3 linked regions of the Coturnix japonica genome follow. The protein of the gene in region 2 purifies or fractionates together with the protein of the main gene of each other region. This does not show direct contact. Links are inferred from orthologs where the notes say so. Each region holds a gene or a part of one and is shown on either strand. Other genes may lie near its edges.

Evidence for each region.
Region 1: the proteins of ATAD5 (region 2) and RFC4 purify together in Homo sapiens (affinity purification with mass spectrometry; 5 studies listed by BioGRID and IntAct, counting the BioPlex papers as one, with this or other methods). This does not show direct contact. The link is inferred for Coturnix japonica from reciprocal best matches to the Homo sapiens genes ATAD5 and RFC4.
Region 3: the proteins of ATAD5 (region 2) and WDR48 purify together in Homo sapiens (affinity purification with western blotting; 3 studies listed by BioGRID). This does not show direct contact. The link is inferred for Coturnix japonica from reciprocal best matches to the Homo sapiens genes ATAD5 and WDR48.

Annotation. Positions count from the first base shown.
Region 1 is NC_029524.1:14,221,379-14,227,920, forward strand, and holds the start of RFC4 (replication factor C subunit 4), read right to left. Parts: upstream 3,916-6,542; 5' UTR 3,790-3,915; coding exon 3,665-3,789; intron 3,220-3,664; coding exon 3,141-3,219; intron 344-3,140; coding exon 264-343; intron 1-263. UniProt on the Homo sapiens protein: Subunit of the replication factor C (RFC) complex which acts during elongation of primed DNA templates by DNA polymerases delta and epsilon, and is necessary for ATP-dependent loading of proliferating cell nuclear antigen (PCNA) onto primed DNA.
Region 2 is NC_029533.1:7,478,662-7,485,256, reverse strand, and holds the start of ATAD5 (ATPase family AAA domain-containing protein 5), read left to right. Parts: upstream 1-2,255; 5' UTR 2,256-2,458; coding exon 2,459-2,524; intron 2,525-3,126; coding exon 3,127-4,901; intron 4,902-5,032; coding exon 5,033-5,120; intron 5,121-5,657; coding exon 5,658-5,822; intron 5,823-6,067; coding exon 6,068-6,203; intron 6,204-6,474; coding exon 6,475-6,559; intron 6,560-6,595. Other genes in the region: CRLF3 (cytokine receptor-like factor 3), read right to left, coding at 644-851, 1,959-2,084. UniProt on the Homo sapiens protein: Has an important role in DNA replication and in maintaining genome integrity during replication stress.
Region 3 is NC_029517.1:4,672,781-4,679,614, reverse strand, and holds the start of WDR48 (WD repeat-containing protein 48), read left to right. Parts: upstream 1-2,441; 5' UTR 2,442-2,507; coding exon 2,508-2,555; intron 2,556-6,247; coding exon 6,248-6,388; intron 6,389-6,834. UniProt on the Homo sapiens protein: Regulator of deubiquitinating complexes, which acts as a strong activator of USP1, USP12 and USP46. Enhances the USP1-mediated deubiquitination of FANCD2; USP1 being almost inactive by itself.

The sequences.
Region 1 (6,542 bases), on a different chromosome or scaffold from region 2:
GTTATGTATGAATGTCAATTAGGTATTTTTTAAAAGTTGATTCCCAGACTGCCAAAACAGCAAAGCATAAAATTACAGGAAAAAGCAATCAGAAGCTGCCTCAATAAACACAGAGCACTGTTATTATGTGTCCTTATATGCTGTGAGCAGCGTGGAAGAAACAGCTAAATCTCCAGATCTGGTCAGTGGGGGTGGTCAACCAGAGGCACACAATTAGAAGACACGATTGTTGCTTATACTGATGCAACACAGTTCCAGCTTACCCAAAGAGCTCTCTGGCAGCTGCTAAAATAGTGGAGGTCTTTCCAGTTCCAGGCGGGCCATAGAACAGCAGATTGGGAAGCTGCAACAGTAAGGCAGCGTTTAGAACAGCAATAATATAAACCTCTCTGTCTGACTTATTTTTGGCTCACGTTCTATTTCTAAAGATTCAACTGAAGTTAAAGAGCTTTATGCTGAATATAGCGAGCAACACAGACAGAATCAGAGCAGCAAAGCCAAAGGCATCTAAAGAGCAGAGTGAAATGCAGGGGTGTGTGATCCACAGTCAGAAAATGAAACGGGGGCAGATCTCTTCGGCAACAAATATTCCATCTTAAAAAGGTAAGACAGAACAAACACCACTGAGTATGTGCTGGAAAAGTACGGATGGCAGAACGTCATTATTTTATTATTAAAAACACATTTTGAGTTTCCCTGCTCTTTCTGCCAATCAGTTGTTGCCTGGTTCCCTGGTTAATGAAAAGTAAACAGTACTCAATACAAACACGAGGCTTTCCAAGTTTAATTAAACCCCACAGCGTTATTGTCTCCCTGTGCAGTTTTAGAAATCTCCGTGGAGAGGAAATGCTTCTGAAATGACAATAGAAAATTCACCACCAGCCATGTTAGTCAGCACGCTGCACCAGCAGACATTTTGTGGATTCAAGACTCATAATTTCATGGCTCTGTGCTGATTCACACTCTAACTCTCAAAAGAAACATTCACAGCTTAAAAGCTTTAACAGGAATCGGTGTTTCTGAATTCATTAAATCCATGCTTCAACTACTACTTTAGCTTCAACCCCTTTTATGCTCGTTTCTCGCTGAGGTTATCACAGTATTTACATTGCTTTGTCAACAAGCACAGCCTCATCCTTCATGTAACTCTGCAGCACTAATTTTAACAGACTGAAAGCTGAGCTGGTTAACCCTTGCTCCAACCTCGCAGGGGGAAGGCAGGATACCTGCAGGCACTGCCTGCTCATGGGAAACACCACAAGCAGGAGAAGCCCCAGGTGCCTCTCTACAAGTTTCACTGCAGGTAAGGATGTAAACCGGAATTATAGTCTTACTCTTAATTCTCTGGGTTCTCAGTCAGTAAAATGCTACCTAATAACTGGAACATTAAAGAATAGCATAACATAAGTCAGTTTCTCTAAAAAAAAGCAACAACAGCCCTGGCAGGCAGAAATCAATTTCTCCAGCTCAAAAACCACCCAGACTCTGATCTTTCCAATTTATAACAAGAGAAATGCTTGCTATTTTAGACTGAGATGTACTGTGGTTTTAGAAATCCTGCCCTATTTAGCAGCTTCAAAACCAAGGCCCACAAATACTTAAAAGCAATTCAACAGAGGACTAACTTTCCATTTGCAGCAGTAAGGTTTAAATACAGCACATGACACAAGCTTAGCACATTGTCACAGCTGTTTCTTTGATCCCATCAGATCACCAGACTCAATAAGAACTCCTGAAACAGAGTCAGCCACTCAGAGTTTAAATTACACTTTTGCCTTTTTGACAGAATGAGTCCTCCCAAAAAGTAACAAAAATCTTCCAATTTTGAAAGCATCAAATACTTGAACAACTCTCAGTTTTGTTCTCAAATGGTTTGCTGAGCTTTGGTACCTACAGTAACATACGAAGCCTGTAACCACCATACAGACGAGTTCTGATTTGCTTTTTTTCCAACTCAGGAGGCAAAAAGTCAGCACGAGGCTCATGATCTGACAGACGTGGCTGATCCAGAAGTGAAGGGTTTTAAATAGCTGATGCTCAAAATAGAACTTGACAACCCGTCACCTAAACAACACTGCAAGACTGACATGCCCAGATAGATGGCAGAACTCAGTTCTCTTCAGCCATGAACAGTTCCTCACTAATTTCTAGAACCAGACAAAATAGTAGAATACAACAGCATTGCTGTTAAGACCTGGATTTTTGAGGATACAGTAGTACACAGTAAGGTCATAACTGTGTTCTTAAAATAAACTGAATCTGAAGACACAAACTAAATAAATTACACGAGTCTTTCCCAGTTCTGTCATACTAGCTCTATTTTAACTCCCCATACTAAAATACAAAATACTTTAGCTTTTGCACGTTCCGATTAAATGAATATTTTCAGATCTATATAGCCTCAAACTAATCAAAACAAGAATAAATTGTTTCAGTGTAAAAGTTCCAAACAACGATGGACACACAATGCACATCAGAGTGCACAACAAGTGAAAGGCTTCCTCCGCAACTCTCTGTAAAGCCTGACCTGGTTTTTATAGCTCTCAGTGAACAGATACCCACATCACAACTGCTGCTCTTGGAACATCCGTACCAGCCAGCATTAGCCGTCCATAGAAACAGAACACCCCCTCTAGGTGAAATATGGAGCTAAAGGAGTGTCAGCATGAATGTAAGGAAGGGGTTTTTCACATTTGGAAAGGAAGAGGAATGAAGAAATAAAACAAGAAACATGTTTAGCAGTTTCTTAAAAGCACCAGTAAATCACTACAACTGATGAGCAACAATAACTGGCAATTTAGGTTTTTCTATGAAAAGTTTCCCCTCTACTCTTTGTCATAAGCACCAGAAGCATCAGCTGAACAGCAGCATCTCGAAAACAAAAGCTCCTCCAGCACTGAAATTATTAACAGCGAGTTCACCAGTTCAGATTTCCCAGAATAAATTCCAATGTGTCACAGAGCTGAGAGTTCACAGTGCTCAGAGAGCTGGACACATCAGGTACTGCAGGGCTTATCAGGTGCCATTGGAAATCACTTGGTTAGCCTGGAGAAACAGCCACAGCCAAGCCAGAAAGGGAAGCTCTCCCCACCGCTGCCTGCACGTTGCTGTGCTCAGGCAGCTGTTAGTGCAGCACTCACATCAGCACCTTCCAGGGACTTTTTCAACACAGCAACAACTTCATCCTGGAAGGCGACTTCATCCACGTTTTTGGGGCGACTAAAGAGAAAGACATCAAACGCAGTTTGATTACCAAACAGTTTCAGCAAGAATGTGAATTAAGACAGCATTTCCCTTCCCAAATACATCCATTCTATAGAGCTACACTAACTCCTGCAGCTGAGGCCACAATCCCAACAGGAACTGAGCCAGACGCCTCCCCGCGGTGACTGACAGCTCAGGAAGCCGTCAGTGCTAACCATTGCTGGCCATTGCTGGCCATAGCTGGCCATTGCTGGCCATAGCTGGCCATTGCTGGCCATAGCTGACCATTGCTGGCCATTGCTGGCCAGAGCTGACCAGAGCTGACCATTACTAACCAGAACTGACCAGAACTACCCATAACCAACCATTACTAACCATAACCACGGCCCTGCGCTCATTCCTGGAGCACATCTGCCAACACCCCCAGCTGTGACCCCCCCCCAGTCCAACAGGCCCTTACTATTTCTCCACCCAGGGGACGGGTTTGAGCTTCTTGCCTTCCCCGCTGCTCCCCGCCGCGCTCCTCTCCTTGTTGGCAGTAGGTTTGTTGCTGATGGAGGCCGGGCCTTTCAGGAAGGCCTGCATGGCTGTGACTGTGGCTGTGGCTCCGTCCTTCCCCTCAGCTCGGCCGTTAATCCCGGCTCACCACACAGCGCACAACAACCCCTCACCAACTTCCCGCCAAGCCGCCCGTCACTCAAGGCGACGCAAGCCACTTCCGCCTGCTGAGAGCCAATCACAGCGCTCCCCCCGGCGGAGTGGGCGGGCCCTTCGGCAGTGCTGAGCATGCGTGAGGATCGTGAGGTGATGGGGAGGGGCGCCATGTTGGCACCTCCCCTCGGGGTCGGATGGGCGGCTGCTGGTTGTTGTAGCCCGTAGCAATGCAGCCTCTCCTGCAAAAAAAAGATTGAAAAAAAGAGGAACCACGAAGCCGGAGTCTGCCCCAGTGCCCTCCCTGTGCCGTGCCTCGCTGCCCCCAGGTGAACGAAGCAGGGCTTATATGTGCCAAAGTTACCTGTTACAAGGGAACCTTTCCTTCATATTCAATTCCCATTAAAGCAAAAGAAGAAGAAAAGGATTTGAAATGAGGGGTGTGACTGATGGAACAGGCCCCATTACAGGACTACAAAGCATCCCAGCAGATCCAGCAGTCACGATGCCCATGTTATCATGCACCAGGTATCTACGTCATATCCTCACACTTTGTGGCAATTTCTTGCATAAAAAGTAAAGCAGATCTGCTGCCTGCAGCAGCACGTTGTGTACTTGTAGCTGTTCTGCTCTATTCTTTCCCTTTGGCTGCCCCCAAGCAAACGCATGGCCATAGTGACCTGGGCAGCTGCGGAGGGGATCATCCTGAACAGAACCTGTGCAAAGGGGAAGAATGAATTGGAAAGGGTCTCTATGGCAACAGACATTGGGAAAGGAGGAACAGGAAAGAATTGAGGCTGGAAATACATCATTCTATTGGCAAGACGAGCCTGTAATCTGTGCTCAGGCAATTTTAAATAAGCTTTCCATTCATCTAGCGTTCTATTATTGAAACATGAAAATGCCTTGGCAGCAAGAGATGCCCATATGCATCATTTCTGAAGTTGCCCTGTTCCTGATGAAAATGCAGTGCTGCTTTTTTTCTCACTATGATTATATTTGATACTTCCGAGTAGTGATGACTTGGAAATGGTAAGGATGCATAAGCAGATGGAATGGATTAGTATTCATCCTGAAGCTGTAAAAGGCTTTGTTATATTTCAGAGCTTCCTTCTATTTTGTGGTCTCACTTCTGTCCTCTCCTTAAAGGGCCACTTCAACTATTCTTAGTGTTTGAACTTCTCATCACCTCTGTCTGAGCCTCACATTCAGCTCATCGAAGGAACCTCCTGGCTGCTAGATGAAATACATTAACATGAAGAACATGGATGTTCTTCATAACAGAACATTTCAAACATGGATGTTCTTCATAACAGAACATTTCATTTCATTACCTTAGCAAATACAGCATATTCCAGAAAGAAAGAAGTGAACTCAAGCTGCAGGTTCTTTTTCTCTCTCATGGTTTTTCTCTCCCTCCAGTGAATAAACACAAAGACTGAATACTACGCTTGCTCAGTTCCACATTCATTTACCATCTTAAGGTCCAATAGGCCAAACTGATGTTTACAGTGTTCCCCCATATGCTTTTTTCCAAGGCAGACAGTTCTTCTATTAGTGTCCCTCAACTGTGTTCCATGGTAACTTTCTACAGCCTAATGCACAGCAGAATTAGTTTATCTTTAAATCCTGATCATGAATTTGTTTTCTAAAGCACGTTAACATAATTGGTTTTGTATCCATAATAATACCAGTTATTAAAAAGCATTACAAATATTTGTGGTTTTTTTCCCTCTTGGGCTGTGACAGAAACATATTTAAGAATCTGACTTTTTTTTATCAGTCTTGCAGAGAGAGAACTGATCAGCAATGAGGTATGGGGAGGAGGTTGATTTGAGGTGGCCTTGACATTTTTCCTTTTTTAAGAATATTTATAACACATTTAGTTAATAAATAAAACTCCTTAAGACTATTTTGATTTATAAAGGCATAAAACACCCAGTGTGTTTGCAGCGCATTAGTATTTAAAACCTGTAATGCCCCAGTAGCAGATGTCTCATTACTAATAATGTTCACAAACAACCTTCTCTGTTCTCATCCTAACCAGATCCACCTCTGCACTGCTGTCTTCCAAATCCTTTGTCTCATTTCACCTCCAGTTGAAGCAGATCCATCAGCTCAGTGAGATGATCCAATACACTGCACTACTACGTCAGCAAACAGGAGGTAGGAGTAGGAACTCGTGGTGGGGTGAGTGGGGAGGTAAAGAATGAGCATTTGGGTTGCAGGGCATGTTTTTGGCACCTTGGACTCCTCTAAATGGGAAGCCTGTTCCCTTTCCTTCTTAGTCTTCTTTTGCTGGCATTTGCAGGTGTACACTCACCCAGTGTTGGGTTTTTTTTTTACACTGAATGTAGAGAAGTGGTTCCTTAAAGTGAACTACAAAACAAGACAGAAATTAATCAGCAATTAATCTGATCCTAAAAATCAGGATCACTGTCCAACAGCTCTGACTAAAATTCAGGTTTTGTTTTGAACACGGAAAGATGTTAGAAAGCGTTTAAAGAAACCAAGGCAGTATAAATAATTATATATTGATTTTATTAAAATATTAACAGCACTTATCTGATGAGTTTCAACATTTAAAGACTTCTGATAAAATTCTGTAAGCAGTACAAAGCAGACTGGTTTTCATAAACAAACAAGTTCAGAGCAGGATGGCACTAACAAGAAGAGGTCTGAACTGG
Region 2 (6,595 bases):
GCAGGATTAACTCCTTTCTGATTCACATCTCTGCTCATTTTTTAAAGAAAATTTAAGCTGAGACATGAGAACAATGCAAGGAAACTGCCAACACCGTCATGCTCCCAGTAGGTTCTGCAATGCAGGCAGAGCAGTCAGCAGTGTTATTCCTTTCTGGCCAGGTGATCAGCATCAGCACGGTGCAAACTTGGAACAGAACTATTAAGAACTATTGGTCCACAACAGACAAAGTTTATCCTCACAGAGGACTGACATTTTTTCTCAGTGGAAATTCTACTGGAGCCAGTTGTTAATTGAATGAGACCAGAGACAACTTGTCATTTTGGTTCCCAAGATGTATTTTGTTTCAAAGCAGTGTGATGCGTTCATTCCAGAGCGGCAGGCTGCAGGATGCTCCTGCAAACAAGGTCTGTGCCCAAAAGCAGATATTCTCAGTCCTTAAGAGGGGGCAACAGCCCAGGAACGGAGTGAAATTAAAACAGAAGGTGACATCTCATGAGCCTACCCAAGTTTAATCTCTTTCTAACATTTCATTTGACAGGAATGCAGGACAAGCCAAACACACTGTGACAGGAACACTCCTGACTTTGAGAGAAGACACGCTGGGAGGCAGCACTAAGACTTAGCCCGGGTCCTGCCTTACCTTCCCGGAGCAGATCATCAGCCGTGCTGACTCCGTGCTCTATCAGCTTCTGGCATTCGTCCAGTGGTTTGATGCTCTCTTGTTCTATAGCATCCACTTCCTGCAGCAGTGACAACAGTCGCTCATCCAACAGCTTCTTTAGGGTCCCTTTTAAATCATTAAAATGTTGCTCGAGTACATCTCTGGTCAAGGTTGCACTTTCTCTGATCTAAATTCAGGTAAAAAGAAGGATTCAGGACAAGGGCAAAGACCGCTCACATCTCGTATGTCTGAGCTACTGTGTCTGCAAAGGAAAATGTCTGTGAAGTCAGCTTTAAAAAGGGGCCACAAGCAGCGAGTAACAGGGTGTGTTATGAACAGTGCAGGCACAGAGGGGAGGAGGCTGGGAAACGAGTCTGGACAAGGGAAGGGCAACGAGCTGAGCACATCAAGATCAACTGCTGAGGTTTGAGCTACGTGCAGATCGGGTTAATGCTACTGCAGCCAAAGAATCTGGTCAGAAAAGTCTGAAAGTCCCTCCTGGTAACTGCATGAAGGAACACACAGCTCTCCATGGAGCCCGGCCCTTCACTGGGTGTTTGAAGTCCCACCAAAGCTCTTTTCAAACAGAACCGTGTGGGTGCTGCGGGGTGATGGTGGGTGCAGCAGGTCGGGCTGGGTTTGGGAAGAAGCAGAGCTGAAGTTCCTACGCACATTCATCGCTGTGCTGGCAAACGGGATTTTAGGGAGACAAACGCATTTGTGCAGCCCTGAACTAAGGGTACAAAACCACAACAGAACATCTTCCTCTGAGCGCTTCTACCCCGTGCAGATGAGGAAACGCTGCACTGTGCACTGCACGGCACAACAACCGCACAACAACCGCACGGCACAACAACTGCACAACAACTGCACGGCACAACAACAACTGCACGGCACAACAACCGCAGCCCTGCAGCCGGCGCAGGAAGCTCTGGTTCTGCGAGGCGCATTTCCTGTTCAAGCCGTAACACCGCACAGCTCGGCTGCCCGACTGTCAGCCCCAGAGAAAAAGGAAGCGAGGGGAAAGCGGTCCGTGCTGACAGAACTGCTGCTCAGCGCAGAGCACCCAGCGCCTATAGGGGAACCAGCACGGGGTACACAGAGCTGCATAGAGCTACACGGAGCTGCACACAACTACACGGAGCTGCTCAGAGCCGCACAGGTCCGGTATCCCCGCACACATCCCGTGTCGTCCCGTCTCCCCCCGCCCCGCAGCCCAATAACGTCCCACCCTGTGGCCGCGCCCCCGCCCGCTCATCCCGTCCCGTCCCGTCGCTCCGCTCCGTTCCCCCACCTGTGTCCTGGCCTGTTGCAGCCCCCGCAGCCGTTGCTGCAGTTCCCGCCGGTAGCTGCGCGCCGCCTCGATGCTCTCCCGAGCGTCCTGCAGCAGCAGCAGCCGCAGCTCGGCCTGTTCCGCCATGTGCAGCCGCGGGCGGGGCCCGGACAGGCCGCACTGCGCGGGGCGGCACGTGACGTCACACCCCGCGGCGCCAAAACCCGCCCGACGGCGGCGGCGGGAGGAGCGTCAACCCGTCACGTGACCGGAGATTCGAGGGCGGGGCGCCAACCGCCGGGATCACGTGATGGCAAAACGCGCGTGGCGGTTGGCGGAGCGAGCGGGTCACGTGGGTGTTGTAGCGCCGCCCCGTTCCGCGCGCAGCTCCGAATCGTTCCGCGCGCTTTTCCCCTGTCAGTCACTCGCTCCGTGCGGCGGGACCGGACATGGCGCCACCGCGCGACTCACGGCGCGTCTGAGCGACCCGCGCTGCCGGGACGGGCCGGGCTGGGCTGGGCATGGTGCGTGCGGGGCGTGCGGCGGGCAGCGCCTCGGCTGAGTCCGGGAGGGACGGCGACCTGCAGGTGTGCGGCGGGACGGGGTGTGCCGGGACGGGGTGTGCCGGGACGGGGTGTGCCGGGACGGGATGTGCCGGGACGGGATGTGCCGGGACGGGCGGCTCCGCGGGGCTCGGTGCGATCGTGGGGGCGGTGGCCGAACGGGATGAGCCGCGTTCCCGGGAGCGGGCGGCGCTGCGGCTCCGTGATGCGTCGCGCTCGTTGCTCTCGTTGCTCTTTGCGCGCCCTGCCCGGCGGGGCCGTTTCCCTCCGGTGTTGCCGGGTGCACCGCCAGGATCCCCCGGTGTGCGGTGAAACAGCCGCGCTGCTCCCGGCCATGGGCTGCGCTGACGGTCCGCTCGGTGCTGGAGGTCCCGGGCGTTGGGTGGTGGTTTGAATGTCGATGTCCCGCTGTTCTGAACCGTCACCCCTGTCCAATCCAGCTGGGGCGGCTCCTGCAGGATGGCGCTGAGCGATGTGAGCAGGGACTCACGTCAATAAGTTCATTGTCTTTTACAAGAGCACAAATGTCACTGTGTAAACTTGTATCGCAAAGTGCCTGATATCAGCACACCGCAGCTCAAGGTTTTAATGGCCAAGGCTGACACAGAGCTCTCTTTTTATTGTAGCCGTGCAAGAAACGGCGAGAGGAAGATGGCTCTGTGAAAACCATCACGAGGTATTTCTCACCATTAGCGAAAGCAGGAGGTAAAGTGTCATCGCCTCCAAAAGCCAACAACATCTTGGATTACTTTAAGAAGACGCCTGCAGCTGAGAAACATGCAACAGCAGCTGGGGAGATTACAGCAGAATTCAGTGACGACCTGGATTGTTATATAGCATCTCCAAAGCCAAAGAGGAAAAGGAAGAGAACTCGTGTAAATAATAAGCAAAGAGAAATGAAAGAGTTGGAGAGTGAACGCACAATAGAAATTGATTGTGATGACAGCATAGAAGCAACAAGGCTAAAAGAAGACAGTGATGATTTCATAGCTACGTGTGCTTTAGGTGACTGGAAAGGTGGAGGGGAATTAGCTGAAGGTCATAAGCAAGGTGAGGATTTCTCACATACAGACATCTGTGTTAAAAGTGATGAGAAAGTTGGTTCTGAAATAAATGCAACAAAAAATAGGATAAGAAAAACAAGGAAAAGGAAGCACAAAGTAAATGTGGATTCGTCTGGGAGTTTTTCATTTGAGAACCAGCTGAATGAAAAGTGTAGGAAAGAAACTAAAGGTAAGAAAAAGAAGGAATCTCCTAAAGCAGCAGAATGTGATGATGTTATTAGTGACACAAGTTGTGAAGTACTCACAGATGATAAAACATCTCAGGCAAATGACAGTATCATAACAGTGTCCTTTGAGGACTTCTTGAAAAGCCAAGGAGAAAATCACGTAGAGGATGTTGAAGGTACAAAGCCAATGCTGGACAGTTCTGTTACTGTCAATGAAACGGACAAAAGTGGAAGTAATAGTGACCCTGAAAAGTGTGAGGAATTTCAGCAGCTACCGCTTAGAACAGTAACTGTTCTTGCACAAGTTCATTCCGTTCCCCCCAAATCAGGTTCTTTACATAATGAGCAAAAAGGTTCTAAGAAAATAGCTTCCATTTTTCTGAAGCAGAAAGTATATGTAGAAGAAGAAAGCAGCCCGTCTCTTGTGGAGAGTGAGCAGACTGAGCAGCTCACCCTGAAAAGAAAATCTAACGTAGTCATTGAGGAAGAGGAGCTGGAGTTAGCGATACTAGAGACTGCAGGATCGGATTCTTTGAAGATGAAATCTACTCTGGAAGAAAGGCATCAGTTCATGAAAGCGTTCAGGCAACCAACATCAGATGTAAGAAAAAGTGGAGTTAAAAAGGCACCTGGGAAAGCAAAGCAAGTCATTGGGAGGACTTCAAAAGACAAGAAAGGACCCGAGGGTGACAGTGTTTTAAATACGGAATTAGAAGGTGGGCTACCAGAAGATGGTGCAGACAAATGCATGAGTTCTAGTCCTGGAAACACCAGAACGAAAAACAAGAGGCCGCGGAAGTTTCAGAAGAAGGGAAGCAAAAGAAACAAGGCTTTGGGAGCAAAGGAAAAATGTATCTCAAGTACAAGCAACTATAACGAAGATAAAGAATCAGTAGATTGTGATCAGGTGAAGGAAAGTAAATTGGATGTAATAATTTCATCTAGTCCAAAAGTGAAAGAGTTGAGGAGGAGTCTGAGGCAAAAGAAAACCAACACATCCAAAACTATTACACCCAAAAAGAACAAAATTAGAAGGAACTTTTCTGGAGATGAAAGTGTGTGGCCTGTACAGACTTCCACACCAAAAACAAGCAGGCAGTCCTTAAAGAAAAGTAACGTGTATAAGGCTGAGGTGATTACAGTGCCCTCCGATGAGAACAGCCCAATAAGGTAAACATGTTGGAATATATTCTGGCTTTATGCATTTTGTTTTGTTTTCCTGCAAGTATTTTAAGAGTAAGTTGTAGTTACGATTCCTTTCATTAAACAGTAATGATTTTATAACACTTTTCCCTAATTAGAATGAGGTTTACACGGATCAATGCAACTATAAAATCAAATAAAAGTGAAGCAAAGAATAATGAAGAGCTTAACTCCAAAAATAAAAAGGTAATTCATGTAACAGCTTGTGTTTCAGTATGTTGTCATTTACTAAATGCATATAATTGTTAACATTCAAATTGTTTAATACAGTAAAGCATGGTAGTACACAAATGTCCACTTGAAAGAGAGTATTACTGGAATTTACTATAGCATTTGAGCTAGTTTCTTGTACAGTTACTGTACCGTTGACTTTAAACTGTTACAAATAGCAGCTTGTGTGAATATAACAACAGAAATCAGATAGGATAGCATGCTCATCTTTGGCAAGTTCTCGAGGTGGGATGTAGCATTTGGGCATAGCAGAACAGCTGATGCTTAACAACATCACTGCTCAGATCTCATTTGTCCTGTGGGTGACCAGGACAGTCCCCTGTAGGGCTCCCACTACCCCTAGTGTTCTCCTTCTGATTGTTTCACTTTCTTCCCAATGCAAGCAAATGTTAATTAGAAATCATACACTAGAGATAATATAATGTGGAACACTTAGTGAAGATATTGCTATTAATTGCTAGATATCTTGGTTATTTTGTACTTTGTCAATAGATAAGCTCTGCTTCTAAAAACGTGTCCAAAGCAAAACAGCTGGTTGAAAAAGCAAAAGCTATAAAGCACAACAGATCAAAGGTTAATGAGGACTCAGCAGCTCCTGTGAGGCGCTCATCTCGACAGCAAGCTCTTGCTGAAAAGAAAACGTTACAAGAAAATGAAGTAAGCCTGTGTATTCTATGGGGAAATCATTCTCTAGTTCTCGTGACTTTGTTAAGCATTAAAAATGTTTTGTAGAAACACTTTTAAGTATGAAATAAGGTAGATAGCGATTACAGAGTAATCTTCAAATGGTATTTGGTAACTTCTGGGCTTTGCAGAAGTTTCCCCAATACCTGTCACTAAATTGTGTTGCTAATGAAGGAGGAAAATCATTTCCTTTCTAAGTTTGTTTCCTTTTCTACCAGGATTCAGTAATAATTCTACATTCAAGCCAGAGCAATGACAGCACTACAGTGCAGGGTGTGAAGCAAAAGAATCTTCGAAGCTTAAATGATGTTTTGGGGAAGTCTAAAAATCTGAAGGTTTCTAAGAACTCAAAAGGTAATTGAGTTTTACTAAATGAGTTATTTAACGAGAAAGTTTATCGACCAATTTATTTCATCAGGCTCTAAAGTATGTTTATGAAATAACTGGAAATATAACTGCAGTGGATCTTATTAAAATACTTTTCTTAGAAATGGAGCTTCCCTTGGGTTACTAAATAAAATATATAGACAGTGAACATGAAAGCCCAGTTACAATGCACATATGATGAAAGAGAGTTGCTAATCGGTGCCAACCTATCATGGTTATTTTTGCTGTTTCTCTGAAGGAAAATTGGGATACGTTCCTTCATTCCTGGGCAGAAATGTGCAAAAGTCTACAGATGAACCGGTTGTGATTTTTGATGATAGCAGGTCAGTGTTCAAAATTGCTGTTGGTTCCAGTTCTTC
Region 3 (6,834 bases), on a different chromosome or scaffold from region 2:
TTTTATGTAGCTCTTCTCCCAACTGTATCATCTATTGCTGCACTTCCTGCAGGATTAAAGAGCCTTTTGCTTATAAAAAACATTCTCTACTTCTATAATTACAATAAAAAATGGGGCTGGAAGTGATATCCTAAAGCCACCTTGTTCGTGATTCAGCCTCAAACAGCATCAGCGATATTGATGTAATTCCTGGAGATATTTGCCTCGTCTCTTCTTACAATAGATGGTGATTCCAGCCCCTCCATATACCACATATTCTAGTGCTTCACTACTCCAACTGCCAAGAAATGTTTTTTCTTGTGCCTCATATGAATCTCCTGAACTGCAATTACAGCCCATTACTTCTCATTCACCACGGACATGAAGATGAGTTTATTCCATATTCTTCTCAATTATTTGAAAACCGCTATAATGTTTCCTTTCGTATTCTCTGCTGTAGCCAATAAACATTTGAACCTTTCCCTGTAATTCCTACAGGCTCCGAATCATAGTTGTATCTTCCATCTAAATTCTTTTAAGGCCTTTATTGTAAATGCTGTGGCAGCCAAACCTCACAAAGAGGGATTTGAACAGCAGAGGGAAGAAGCTGGAAAACGTAATAGTATTTTTGACCCTAATATTACTGAGGAAATTTCATCTTCATCTTTTTATTTATTGCAGTCGTTACTTATCCAATAAGCACCCATTTGCTTTTCTCCTTATCTCGATGCCCTGGCCTATCTCCTGAATCCTGCTCAGTTCTCTCCCATCTCCTTTTTGGCTCAACATCTATTTGCTCATACCAGTGTTTTCAGAAGGTCACAATTCAGCCAAGATTATCAGAGTTTTAGGGAAATTGAAAAATAATCCCTAGATTTATCTACAAATATTGTTCCTTCTCTTCCAAAGCCACAAGCAAACAGTTAACATTATAAATTTGATGATCTTATCACTTTCTCAAAATGTCATTGTGAAAAGCTAAAAGATTCAGTGCATCACATAGAAAACCTTATCTACCATATTTCTGTGTGTGTGTGTGCAGTTTGTCCACATGACTCCGTATCAGCCCAGCCTTGCTTCATGTCTGTGATGAATGAGAATGAATGACAAGCTGAAAGTGCAGCTCAGACACATAGAAACCAGCAACTTATAGCCTGTGCCAACATGATGCTTCTTGTGTTCCAGCAAAGACAACCTCTGATGGACTACACAATCTCTAGAGGTCTCTCCCAACTTCAAAGGTTCTACGAGCACCGTGCATGTTTTTGTTCTCCTTTCAGTAATGAGCTGTTGGTCAGAGGATTTAAGAAACACTGCATAGCAGGGACTATCCACATATAATCAGTTGACATGCAGAGAGGAAGAAACAGCGGAGGACCACATAGATGGTGAAGGGCCTGGAGCATCTCCCCTATGAAGAAAGGCTGAGTGAACTTGGTCTGTTTAGCCCTGAGAAAAGAAGACTGAGAGGGGACCAGATTCAGGTCTATAAATATCTGAGGTGTGGAGGGGGGAGTGGTGAAAAAAAAAGCTTTAATTTTATCTTAAAAAAAAAATGTAATGAGTTAAGCAATGCAACTTTGTGATACCTGTCCTAGATGCTTTAAATCATATGCTCTGCACTGTTGTAATAACAGAAAATAGTGAAAATATGGCTGCTAAGGAAGAGTTTTGGCCAAGGCAGATGTCTTTTAAGAACAATACCATCTGCTTGCAATTGCAGGGAAGACACTGCAGTCAGCAATGCTGGAAAACGCAATTCTTATCAAAATAAGCTTATATTAGCATTAATGAGTAGCCAGTGAGCATGGCTGCAATCAGCAGGAATGTGAATATGTGACTATATATTTTTTACTTATTTCTTTACCCATTTTTTGTCACTGTAAAAATGTTTCTCGCTAGGATTATTGATCTACTGTGCATTTCACCAATCACCTCGTCCAGTCACCATTACTGTTTTGAAGTAAATGAAATAATCAATACCAAAGCAAACCCCCCAAGGTAATATCCCTATGCACAGCCTTCTTTTCTCAAGGCTAAACAGACCCAGTTCCCTAAGTCTCTCCTCATAGGGGAGATGCTCCAGGCCCTTCACAATCTTAGTAGCCCTCCGCTGGACTCTTTCCAAGAGATCCCTGTCTTTTTTTGTACTGGGGAGCCCAGAACTGGACACAATATTCCAGATGAAGCCTCACCAGTACACTCATATAAAATGGCTTTCATCCAGAGGAAACCTGGACAGGCTTGAAAAATGGGCCCATGTAAACCTAATGAGGTTCAACGTGGCCAAGTGCAAGGTACTGTACTTGAATCGTGGCAACTCCAATACATAAAATGGCGAGCCGCCATTACTGGGGCTATTACTGAGAGGGAGCTCTGGCCCAGCCCCCTTGTCAGTTGCCTAGCAACGCCTCAATGAACGTCAGCCATCTTGTTTCTGCTTTATAAGGGCTTTGGGGGCTGAGAGTGGGGGTGGGACTTCCGGAACGTCACTCCTCGGAAGTGACATCACAGTGTCAACATGCAAGATGGCGGCGCATCACCGGCAGAACACGGCGGGGCGGCGGAAAGTGCAGGTGGGTGCACGGCGGGGTTCGGCTGTGAGGAGCAGCAGGGCTTTGGGGTGGGCTACATACGTGTAGGCCGCCCTCAGGAGGACGGTCGGGGATGGCTGGGCTATGGGAGGGGGGCGGTGGTTGCTGGGGAGGGGTCTCTGCGTTGCTCCGTGTGGGAGGCTCTGGAAACTACGAGGACTGGCTAAAGGAGAGAAGGGAAACGGCTTCATCGGCTTAAGGGAAACGATACTGAGCTACATTGAGCCACCCGCCCGGCTCCGGGCTGCTGTTCTGAATGCAAGGCCGCAGAACAGTCAGGCTGTGATAGTGAATGGTAAAAGTCAGGAAAATAGATGTATTGTGATGTTTTGGGATAGTATCAGCACCTTTAATAGCTTTACTCCTTTCCCATAGCAAAATGTATGTTTTATGTGTACCTCTGGTGGTAAGTGCAAGTTTCAGCTGTTTTTAACCATTATATTTATATATATACCGATTTAGCTTGCAATAGTCTCAGCATCCTTCCAAACAGAGATGGGTGCTGTGTCTTAAGGCACCTTTTCTATTCTGTCCCATAGAGGAAATGTTTATAGCTTATAGCAGTTCTTATAGTCAAAGAAGCACTTGGTCAGTGCTGCATAAAGAATTCCTGTGCCCTTTTGCATCGTCTGCACCGTATGCAAGTTCTTGAAGATTGGCCTCCCAAGGAAGGAGATTTTGTATTTATTTATTTGGTGATCTGTTGTCACTGTGTTACTTGATGCTTTTTGCTTCTCCTTATCCTGCTGTGATGATCCAGGCTTCAGCCAGTGTACACTAAGTGATCAACAGAGAATAACTTTGATTATATTATAAGCACATACAAAGTATTAAGTACAAAGTAGGTATTTTATTGTAGTCCTATTACTTCACTTACTTGGTTAAATTCAGGGTTTTGGCCAAATAATGGACTTCTCAGTGGCTCTTGCATCCATCAGCTGTTGGTAGAAAGTAAAAACCATTAACAGTTTATTTTGCTTCCTGATGGCTGAGCATTTAATATGTTTCTGCATCAATTAATAGAGATTTCTCCAAAATCTATAGTGCAAGGGGAAGACTCTGTAGAAGAATGCCCATCAGTTGTGGAGGATCCTGATTCTTTACAAGACATGGGAGCTGGTTAATATTTATGCAAGTTTGAGCTGTTGTTGTCTCTGTTGCACCTGTTTTACTGGTCAGTAGAACCATTCAAAACTGTGTAGGATGCTTCTGCATATAATTGTATATTGCATAAGGGTTTAATCAGGATAGGAGTTTCAGACCTTAAAGTGAATTCTGAGCATAAAGGTAAGAAGTATAATTAAACGTGAGGCACTCATGTGAATTGTGTCAGTGTTCCAATAGTAAGGTCCCCTTCACTAGGGGTGGAATGGAGATGTGTGGGTTTGGGAGTAGTAAACATCACTGTGTGATGGGAATCAGTTGGCTTTGTGCTACGGCTTTCAGATGTGGTACTGTGAATTAATTCAAGATGAGGCCATTTTTCAGCTGGTGTGCATTCTTCAACATGTTTTTGTTGGTATTACCTATATCTCTGGTGCTCTTAGTCACTGAAATGGCTAGTCCTGATCCGTTTAAGATACTAAGTCTCATAAATTCTTTATAATGAGGGTTTATCTCTGTAATATTCCCTATGAGGACAGGCTGAGGGAGTTGGGTTTGTTCAGCCTAGAGAAGAGAAGGTTGCGGGGTGACCTCATTGCAGCCTTTCAATACCTGAAGGGAACTTACACCCAGGAGGGGAGTAAACTCTTCGAAAGGGCTGATAATAGCAGGACTAGGGGAAATGGTTTTAAGTTAAAAGAGGGAAGATTTAGGTTGGATGTTAGGGGGAAGTTCTTCACTGGGAGAGTGGTTAGGCCCTGGAACAGGCTGCCCAGGGAGGTTGTGGATGCCCCGTCCTTGGAGGTGTTCAAGGCCAGGTTGGACGGGGCCCTGGGCAACCTGATCTAGTAAGTGTGTATGTTTGGTGGCCCTGCCAGGCAGGGGGGTTGGAACTACATGATACTTGAGGTCCCTTCCTACCTGGGTCATTCTGTGATTCTGTAATATTTAGACAGTGTTTACTGCAGTGAAGCGTTGCTATTTGTTACAGGAGTTTATAAATGCTACAACAACATTAATGTAAAAAGCATTGGTCATTATTAAAGTATCTTATAGCCCATCTTGCCCTTTCTGGACCATCAAATGGCAATATCACAACGTGGGGTCTGTCATCATCTTTGTGTTTGATGCTGGCTTTGTGAATAGATGCAGTGAGCCAAGGTGCAATGTGCTCTTGGTTGCCTTGTTTGAAATGTGATGAAATGTAACCTGTTGTATCTATTATTCAATGTGTTTGTGTACACATACTTGAATATATACTCTGTATTCATTGTATTGATACTATATTTCCTAATAGTTACTGTATTTCTGTACTGAGTATTGCTCCAATCTAAAACCAAATAACAATAATACTATGGAGTCCTCTCTGACTTCAGGATGTCATTAGGTTTGGGAGTGGGATTTAGAGAGTCCATCAAGAATGAACTGATAGCAGCATTTACCATTTGCTCTTCAGTCTATCAGAGACTTATTAACCCTGAAACAAGACACTTACTCTCATTTTCTCAGTTCTCTCAACATATAAACAATGCTTGTAAAGAGGTGAACAGCTTGCATTTAGTATTTTAACTGAATATTTCCATTGCTTTTATTCAGAAAATTGGAAAGCAGTGTGACATTGGGCATCTCTTTTGCTTTATGTGCTAGACCTTGACTTTGTTCATAACATTCTTTGAGTTAGGCAGGCTGCATGGGCATATTAACAGCATAGACATGGAATGGTCAAGGCCAGATGAAGTGCTGCAGGGACATCTTCCTCTGTGCATCAACAAAAAGAAGGTGTGAATGGGTTGGCTTGGAAGCATCTGTAGTGCTTTATAGCTGCACTTACTGCACAAGTAATAGCAGAGAGTGTTGTAAGCCTTGCATTTTGACCCCTTAAATCTCCATTTGATGTTTCTGAATAGAGCAATGAAGTATGCAATACACACTGTACTGTCAGATGCAGAAGGACTGAAAGTGAAAGAAAGAAATCTCTAATTGGAGGAAGGCTGAATATTTCTGCTTATTATGTTAGAAAGGAGTTTGTTGTTCTTTAAAGAAGAAAAAACTACAACAGAATTCTGCCTTTCTCCAAGTGTCGTAATAGTATTATTGCTGGGATAGAATTTGGACCTGCTGTCTTTCAGTGCTTTGTAATCCTTACTGGTGGTGTTTTCTCCCTATAAGGCTGGGAAACACTGTCACACAGCTTTAGAAACCATGAAACCTGCTTAAAAAAATGAGACACGAATGCATTGTGTTGTCTGGGATCATCCAGAATCTCTGTGCAGAGCAGGGAATTGAACTAAGGATTGTCCCAGTCTAAGCCTGATTTGTAAGGATTAAATAATCCCTGGGGCTCCATATGTAGCACTGCTAACATCTTTGTGACTCTTCCCAATTTTCAGGGGGAGGTAAATGACTGAGGGCAGTGATGGTAACTTTCAAACTAGCAGACTCATTTAATGCTTTTAAAGCTCTTAGTATTTTCTACCTGAGAACCTCACTGAAATGAAATTAAATGGTAGTATTTTGTGGCCAATTCAATATCTTAATACCATAATCAGGTCTGTGTAAATGTCTTTTAGGTCTCCTATGTGATTAGAGACGAGGTGGAGAAGTATAACCGAAATGGAGTAAATGCACTTCAGCTGGATCCAGCATTAAATAGACTCTTCACTGCAGGCCGAGACTCTATTATAAGGATATGGAGTGTCAATCAGCACAAGGTAAGCCATGAGGATTTCTTAGTGTAAATCTGCTTTGTGTTTTTTTCACAGCATGCTGCAGCAATACACCAGGTATTGTTTTTTAACAACTACCTATCATGGTAGAAAAATGCTTTTAATAGGTGTTTCTATTGTAACAAGATATATTGGAGTGTACAAACCCACATTTGGGCCAACATCCCAAAGAACTAATCACAACTGAGGTAAATTAAACATGGAAAGTTGCAATTTTCAGTGATAAAGAAGTCGTAGAAAAGATTGCTGAGGTTTGTATATTATGTTAGTTACAAATGAAATATGGTGAACTCTTCTAGATATTCTGATATCTTGGGATCTCTACTCCTTATCTCCCCTTTATTATTATTTTTTAGATCAGTTGATCACGTCCTATTAGCTCCATTTTCTTTCACCATTGCGTTTGATCTTCTAGCTAAGGAAAGCTTGTT